Caenorhabditis elegans: one gene and its partner. The protein of the gene in region 1 purifies or fractionates together with the protein of each later gene. This does not show direct contact. Each region holds a gene or a part of one and is shown on either strand. Other genes may lie near its edges.

Evidence for each region.
Region 2: the proteins of K08D9.4 (region 1) and Y54G11A.7 fractionate together in Caenorhabditis elegans (co-fractionation; one large-scale study listed by BioGRID). This does not show direct contact.

Annotation. Positions count from the first base shown.
Region 1 is NC_003283.11:3,198,009-3,202,094, forward strand, and holds K08D9.4 (AB hydrolase-1 domain-containing protein), read right to left. Parts: upstream 2,416-4,086; 5' UTR 2,406-2,415; coding exon 2,286-2,405; intron 2,235-2,285; coding exon 2,081-2,234; intron 2,028-2,080; coding exon 1,746-2,027; intron 1,653-1,745; exon of another isoform or gene 1,632-1,652; intron 1,091-1,631; coding exon 873-1,090; intron 827-872; coding exon 665-826; 3' UTR 536-664; downstream 1-535. Other genes in the region: Y73C8B.5 (EF-hand domain-containing protein), read left to right, coding at 1-17, 65-325.
Region 2 is NC_003280.10:14,295,331-14,300,123, forward strand, and holds Y54G11A.7 (Tetratricopeptide repeat protein 38), read left to right. Parts: upstream 1-1,974; 5' UTR 1,975-1,977; coding exon 1,978-2,176; intron 2,177-2,221; coding exon 2,222-2,387; intron 2,388-2,436; coding exon 2,437-2,610; intron 2,611-2,930; coding exon 2,931-3,126; intron 3,127-3,174; coding exon 3,175-3,521; intron 3,522-3,883; coding exon 3,884-4,205; 3' UTR 4,206-4,291; downstream 4,292-4,793. Other genes in the region: Y54G11A.4 (Tetratricopeptide repeat protein 38), read left to right, coding at 1-300; ctl-2 (Peroxisomal catalase 1), read right to left, coding at 4,327-4,793.

The sequences.
Region 1 (4,086 bases):
ATAATGAGGCTCTTGGAGTGAGTTTTTAATAATGTTCGAAACAATTTGTATAGATGCTTTACAGGAGCTAACAGGAGCTATGTTGTCGCTAAGAGGCTTGGCACAGAGTGAAGAGAATTTTAAAAAGGTGTTCCAAGAGTTTGACGAAGACGGAAATGGCTTCATCTCTGTTGCTGAACTGGAACCCCTCTTCAGCAACTTTCAAGCACGGCTGTCTGCCGAAGGGATTCGCAAAACTTTCCGTTACACCGATATCGACAGAAATGGTCAAGTTGATTTAGATGAGCTCATCGATGTAACCAGAGCTGTAAATCCTTCTCTTTAGAGAATCACCAACCTCAAATTTTCCAGTTTCCTCCTCTTATCCTCTCGTTTATAAGTATTATCTTCCCTAAAAAACTTTGAATAAATATTTCATCAACCTTCAATTGAAAAACTCTTTTTTTTGCCGATTAAAAACTTTGGTTCACCTAAAATTCGTTGTCTTTTGTAATTTTTGCTGACTTTTTCTGGGGCAGTATTTCAAAAGCTAAATATTTTTTGTAAGTTTATTATTGAATAAAATTACTATTACAGTTCTCAAATTATAGTCGTTGAAAATATTGTTCATGTTGCAGATTTCCCTTTTGTTTGTAAAGTTAAACAATTTGAAAATTTCAAAACATTAATTTAATAACATTGATCTAGCAGCATCTGCCAATAAATCCGCCCGCTTCTTATTTTGAAAATGATTATCCTTTGCAATAAATACAGATGTTCCTTTTTGATTTTTGAAACTTTCCATTATTTTCTGCTTTTCGGATTCTGTGATATTCGCTTTGAAATTCTGAAATTCCTTCCAATTTTTCAAGTTTTTCTATCACAAAACTTACAAAATGCGCGAGTCCCTGATACTTTTTGAGTGCTTCAAAAACAATTTCCTTTTCAATTAAATGATCACTTCCGCCAAAAGTGATCATAGTCTTTGTGGGCAGTTCATTTAATTTCAGAATGTATTCCAGTTGCTTTTCCAGGTCACAGTTCATAATTGCTCGAATAACCGCCACGGCTTCTTCACCATCATGAATTTTGAATCCAACCAATTTCATTACTGGAAATTGAAATAATTTATAAGATCTGAAGTATCCCTGAAAATTTCGAACATCCTTTAAAGGTGGAGTACCGAAATTTGAGACTTTGCTTATTTAGACCCAAAATGACCCAAAACCATCGACTTTCATAATGAGATGTTTTGAAAGTTTCTCAAAAACGGGTTTTTTCTAAAACATTGAGCCGACATAACTTTTATTTGAAAAATTTTCAGAACATCTCATTACGAAATTTGGTAGTTTTGGGTCATTTTGGATCTAAAAAAGTAAAGTCTCAGATTTCGGTACACCACTTTTAAAAACTTAGGTCTAACGAAAATACGTATTCCTAAACTGCCAAAACTACACTTTAAATAAGCCACTACCAATAATTTTGCTGCGTTTTGAACTAGAAAATTTCCGATCTCAAATTTTATTTTTACAGGACATTTTTCCAATTGTTCTGAAGCTCGTAAAATTGCTCTAGGGGTAGGCAACATCCAGAAAACTTTTCAGATTTTTGCTTTTTTTTTAATCAAAAACGCTCCCAAAATGAAAAAGTTTATGAAAAAATCCAACTTTCAAGCATTTTGACGAGCCTCAACAGTAGTAAAACACCACATTGAAACATTTTTTGGTAGTGGCCTATGGCATATTTCTCATTTTGCTTATACTCACAATTATACAAAATGGCATCTCCAATCTTTTTCGGCAATTTCTTATGTAAATAAATCAGCGACTCCAACTTTCCCTTCGGACGAGACCCTTTATTAATCCTCAACCCTGTTGGATTAGCCATCACTAGTCCATGAGGTTTCCGATTAGCTGCTGTTATCAGTGCATTCTCACATCCTCTGCTATGCCCCATTATGATCACTTTTCCCGGCACATCTAGCTCGTTTAACAGAGCTTCTGAGTAACTATTTCGTTCCCAGTTTCCGAAGTGTTGACCTGGGTACGCTGAAATTTATTTTTAATTATTTGATGGTTTTTTATTAATTAACTGAAACTACCTGGAGTTTGCTTGAATCCTGGGTAGTTAATACCAATAAATCTAATATTCATGTGCTCCAATCGCTGCCTGACATACTTGAAATCCCTGTGAGACCCTGGAGTTCCATGGAATCCAATCACAGTACCCAATGGGGAGCCAGATGATAATGAGTCCTGAAAAACTGACTTTTAAATTGAGAAATCAGTATTTCAGTGTCAACCTACCTCATAAACTGCATTTAAATCTACCAATCTTCTCCTTTTGGTTTGGAACTGCACCAACTTTGAATACAACTTCGGCTCGGTGGCGGGTAGCGTGGAAAATGCTCCTTTTGACATAATCATTATTGATTTTCTTGAAAGAATTTGTATCATAAATCACCAATTTGAAACATTTTTATTCACGAGATATTATCAAATTTAATCAAATTTGTGTTTAGAAAAAAAAATCTGACCTTCTCCATTTTTGTACTAGAAACGTAAAAAATACAACGATTGCTGGAAAATCAAAAAGACAAAATATAAAGCACAACATGAAGCTGGCATGTAAAAAAAGAAAGAAGATATGACGTCAACTGCGTACCCAAACGAAAAAGAGGAGAGAAGCGCGGGTCAGCTGTGTAGTTGGAGTGTGGCCGGTGTGCCCATCGGGTACTCTGGACCCTACTGGAATAAAATTTTAGCTTTACTATTAGATGAGTTTTTTTTTACATTTGATAAAAAAACAAGCTTTTTGGACAATTTTTTCTGGCCAAAAGAAAATCAAAAAATAACCGTCTAACAATTGACATTGAGTTGCAACTGTGTGAAGACGTGAAAATTTGAGAAAAAAAAATTCGCATTCAGAAAAATGCAAAAATTACACTGTAAACTGAAAAAAGCTCTAAAATATGAGTTCAACAAAATTATACGTTTGGCCAACTGCGAAGATTTGCAATTTGGTCGCCTGATGCCGAAAACTTGCCGAAAATTTGCCCATCGATAGCTGAGTTTTTAAACCAGTCAATTGAAGTATATCAGGAAAAGCGAACTCACAAGATGTCGGTCGCTGCAGTTTTTGACATTTCTGGTATTTTTGGGTGTTGTTTTTTTGTCAAAAATAGGGGACTTTTCAGATATGTATGTTATATCACATGTTATGTATGTTATGTATGTTATATTAGCCGATATGGAACCAAAAATTATCGAAATTGGTTACCTATCGGCTTTAAATATACCTTATATCAACGAAAGTAAATGAGATAAACTACCAATATATGTAATAAAGGACGATAATTCCAAAAAAGTCAACTTCGGACATGAATCTTATTTCGCAATGAATCTTGCGCAATGAATCTTATTTTGGCACCTCATGTCCTATGCATGTTTAATACTTTTACCCATTATTCATCTCCCTGACACCCGCACATTCATGTACCAACTAATCAACTTTTCAGATGATAATTCATTTTCTGTATGTTTATTAGTTTTCTGTATGTTTATTATCGTATGTTTATTACGTTTATTATCATGATTTCAATCGTAATAAATTCAATTCAATTCAATATGTAAAAGCGAGAATACAATTTATTGTAAAATTACATTTTTTGACAGCCTTTATTTCCGAATTTTCAAAAAATACAAAAAAAATTCAGAAAGAGGAAGGAAAAAATTCAAGCAACTACATGAATTTCCTAAAATTGAAAAAAAAAATCGTAGTAAAATTTTTCAAAAATTAAAAAAAAACAACTTTTAAAAATTTCAACGAGCGGATTCAATGGTGTTTCAAATATTTTTTAATTATTGGTGAGGGTTTAAACCAGCGATTCTCGAATTTTTTTCACCAAAAATTTGACTGAAAATGTTGAAAAATGTTAAAATTTTGAAGTGTTTCATTAAAATACTGAACCGGCAATAGGTGGGCGGCAATTGCCATTTGGCAATTTTGGCAAATTTTGTCGACAAACTCGGCAAATCGGCAAACTGCCGGTTTTCCTGATATTTTCAATTCCGGCAACTTGCCGGTTTGTCGATTTGCCGGATATTT
Region 2 (4,793 bases), on another chromosome or scaffold:
CAAATTAGCAAGACCACCGGTGTGCCGCTCTACGACGGAATGCTCAACTTTGCTCGTCGCGACTACGACACAGCAGCCGATACTATGTACCCAATCAGGGACAAAATCGTCCAGATCGGTGGATCTAATTCTCAGCGGGATCTTTTTGTGCAGACACTGATACAGTCTTGCATTTTGAGCAAGGATCCCAAAAATTGGGGATTGACACCTGAGCTGCTGGCGGAGAGGAATGCCTTGCATCATAACTCGTTGGTGGGACTGCGACTTGCTGATAAGTTTAGAAATTTGCATCCGTTGTAAGTTTCTGGAGAGTTTAAGTTATAATATGTATGTAATTATTTTCGATATCCTTTTGTTTTTTCAATAAATAAAGTTATTACATTACAACAGTTTCGGGCCCCAGGAGTTCGTGATTTTTGCAATAAGTTGTCAAAGTTCAGAACACGCGATTTTTTCATAATCCGGGAGATATCGGCTGCGATATGAGACATACAAGACGGATGAGTTTTAAATAACACAATTTCGCAGCCGACATTTTACGGGGAAATTTCGACTGGCATCACAGTTGTATTGTGCTGCTTTTAACGACCCTGGAGACGTCGGTTGCTTTTATAAAACCTGTGAACTTCTAGGCACTCTCTAAAAATTAGTCACTGCTGGCTTAGTTATACTCAACTTTTCTTAGACTTTATAAATAAATTTTGGCCAGCGAGATGTCGGCTGATGTATCACTGAAAATGGGATATTTTTCCCAGGAACCCGGGAAATGTCAGCCGCAATGTAAAAACCAGTTAGGTGTCGGCTGCTAGTTATCCAAATATAATGTCGGTGGATACATGCTCTATATTATACACTTCCCATCAACCCGGGAACAGTCCGCTGCTGATGCCGTTTTGACCTGTAAAGTGTCCTGGGAAGATGTCGGGTGCTTTTTTTTTAATATCAGTTAAATCATAACACTCATTTTGACCCGTAAAGTGTCGTCTGCTAAGCTATTGTTTCCTGTATAACCCTGAAAAATGCCCTTTTTCCCGAATTGATTGTTTGATTCTAAAACCGTTTTTTTCAATTTTTTTATCAAACCCCAACTAATCGTCAAAACTTTCACGTATTTTCCAGGTGTTATCAACATCAGTATCACAAATGTCCTGGACACACAAGCTTACCTATTTCTTTCCATTTTGCATGTATGTTGTTTTTGTCCCAATGAAGACGCACGTGCTATATCTGTTTGTCGTCTAGTCGTCTGGCACTCTCTTCTAGACTGCATACTCTCTAATTGTTGACCCTTCTTTTCTTGTTTTCACTTTTCCTTTTTTTAGATTTGGCAGTTTTAAGAGGTTTTTGAGAGGTTTTTTTTCGAGAATTTTATATGGTTTTTTCGCATTTTTGGCCGTTGATAACGTGGTCTTTAGATTAAAAATCGTAAAAATTTGGAATTTTTTAGAAAATCTAAAGTGCAAATTTTACTAATTTTTATGTTAAAAAGCTATGATTGAAGTTATACTCCATTTTATTTCTCATAAGGTCACAATTTTTTTTCTCAACAACTGTGATTGTCTACTAACTTTGGGTACTTCAAAATTGCTACAGTATATCAAAAATCGCGAAAAACTAGAAAACTGGTGATCACAGTTCTTTAATGTTTATTTTTTTACTTTTTCATGTAAAAATAAAGTCTAAAATCAGAACTGAATAATGTAGAGCCATTTTTGGAAATTACCGAAAATTTTGAAATTTCCTACCTAGCGAAACTTGCGCGTAGGATATGTTGTTTTCCGTGCCGATTTTATTATGAATTTAGTTTCGAACGGAGCAACTCTATGTCAACAGTAGAATATCGTGCTTTTTCAATGCAAAAAAAATCCGAAAATTCTAAACTTTCCTATCAAGTCCTCCCTCCCCCACTTGCATCATCTAACCCCGTCATATCGTTCATTAGACCTACCGCCCATTCCTCCTCTCTTCCTTCAGAAAATGGCCGAATGGTGTGCCGATCATTTGCGCAATTGCGAAGGCTGGAAGTCGGCTGGTCTGGAACTATCAACTACGAGTGATGAGAATGCGAAATGGTTGGATGCCTGCATTCGACAGCTTGTGTCCTGGTCGGATTGCACCAGTTTAGGCGGATTTCATACATCGATCGAGAAGCTTGTGGCTTCGGATCCTGAAGCAAGTTAGTTTGTTTTTTGTTTAGCACTTGGAGTCTCTGAATTTTCAGTTATGGCCCGAACTTTCCTAGTGGGCCTCTCCGGGCTCGGCACAGAAGCCGCTGCTCGAAATGTCGAATTTGCCAAGAAAATGGATCAACTAGAAATTGACGCTGAAAAGTATGGAAACGCCAGAGAAAAGCGACATGCCAAAGCAGCGATTTTGTGGGGAAGAGGGTAAGGGCTCCTTTAGGAGATATTTTTTTGAAACTTTCCTGTTTTTCAGAAAGCATCATGAAGCTGCCATCGAGTGGGACAAGCTTCTAGATGATTACCCAACAGATTTAATTGCAGTGAAGTTCTCACACGATGCTCATTTCTTCAATGGAAATCAGATAGGGAAGAAGAACGCAATTGAGAAGGTTATCCACAAGTGGAATGCAGATTTACCATGCTATAGGTGAGATTTAATTGTTTCTATTTTCGAAATATTTTAGTCTCTAAAATTGGTTTCATTTTAAAATAGCGCCATCTACAACAAGAAAACTGTCCTAGTAAGCGCTGCGTTCAGATTTTCCGAATTTCAAAAAACCAATGCGTCTAGAGTGGGATTTGAATCCATCTAAATAAAAGAGGTTATGGTTCATAAGGTCTAGGAGTTCAAGCTAGGTTCAGGCCTATTCACAACTAAATATGAAAATTAAAACAAAAATAACTAAATAGGTTTTATATCTACATGCTTCGAAACCGGCTTCTATCCCCAACATTTTTTTTCTTTAGCTATCTCCATGGCATGTATGCTTTTGGCCTTGAAGAATGTGGTATCTACGATGATGCTGAAACACAAGCAGATCGGGCCCTACAACTGAACCGATTTGATTGCTGGGCTTCCCACGCAAAGGCTCACGTCCTCGAGATGAACGGGCGGCACAAAGAGGGAAAAGAGTTTATGTACAAAACGGAGGATGATTGGAGGGTACTTTTCAATCTATTCAATTAATTGTAAATATACTTCCCCTTTCAGCAAGGTTGGATGCTAGCCTCTCACAACTACTGGCACACGGCACTATTTCACATTGAGTACGCAGAATATGAGTCAGCGCTGGGGATTTTTGATCGAGAAATTGCGAATCGATTCAACAAAACCAACTCCTTGCTAGACATGGTTGATGCCAGCTCACTGCTGTGGAGGTTAGAACTGGAAGGTGTCAATGTTGGAAGGGATCGGTGGAGGAAGATAGAGCATCTGTCGAAGTTCATCGACAATCACTCAATTGTGTTCAATGATGTGCACCTAGGGCTTGCAATTTATAGACAGGAGGATTTGGAGACGGAGAAGAAGTTGAGAAATTCATTGGAGAAGTATTCATCGTGAGTAACACTATCCAGTTCGCCTTATCCGAAAAGAGAGAAGCTACAAATCTATGAAAGATTTTGACATGTTGTATGTACTTGGTAGGCATGTGGTGTCGAGCTGTCCCATTTCGATTTGATTTACGTAGATCTACGAGAATTGCGGGAATTTAGACGCAGACGTCTTTGCTGATTTCGCATGATAAAGAACCTGCTGACGTCACATTTTTTAGGGAAAATTTCCCGCATTTTTTGTAGATCAAACCGTGATTGGCGAAAATTTAAAAACGTTGTATCGAAAGGTGTTAGGATATGTGGAATTAGATGTGATAATCAGCTCCTAGGTCAAACTTACCACATATCAAACTATCATTTTTCAGGCTGCTATCCGAGGACAATGCCCAAATCAGCAAGACCATCGGGATGCCCCTCTACGACGGGATGCTTGACTTTGCCCGCTGCGACTACGACACAGCTGCCGAGACTATGTACCCAATTCGCGATAAAGTTGTCCAAATCGGAGGATCTCATGCCCAGCGGGACCTTTTCGTTCAGACACTGATACAGTCTTGCATTCTGAGCAAGGATCCCAAGAATTGGGCTTTGACGCCTGAGCTGCTGGTGGAGAGGGAGACCCTGAAGCATGACTCGCTGTTGGGCCAGAGGCTTGCTGATAAGTTTAGAGCTTTACATCCGCTGTGAGTTGGTGGAGAGTTTAAGTTATATTAACTTTATTTATTTTTAATTATCATATTTTTTATACACAATAAAGCAAGTTATTACAATAAAAAGTACATTTAATTTCTTTTAATTTCAAGAAAGTTTAGATATGAGAGCGAGCCTGTTTCTGGATGAGTGCCTTGACACGAGCTCCAAAATCTGGATGAACCTTTGAAAAGTGATCGATCATTCCCTTAATAATGAAATCATGACATTCCCCGAGCGGCCCTGCAAAGTTCTGGCACATTCTCTCCCGAGCCCCGGTATCCAACACCTTCTCCCAGAATTGACGGGGTTGATCATAGTTGTTGTCATCTCCACTTTCATAACGATCAACATCTCCAGTGGCTGGGAATGTGGTATCCTTGACATCCGGACGAGTCTTTCCATAGTTGAAGCTGTTCGGGAAGAAGTTTGGAGCATGTTGCTGATTGTCATAAGCCATTGCACCATCACGCTGGGTGTTATGAGCACGGGAGCGGTACGGGCAGTTGACTGGAAGCTGGATGTAGTTTGGTCCAAGGCGGTGGAAATGAGTGTCGGTGTACGAGAAGATACGTCCTTGGAGCA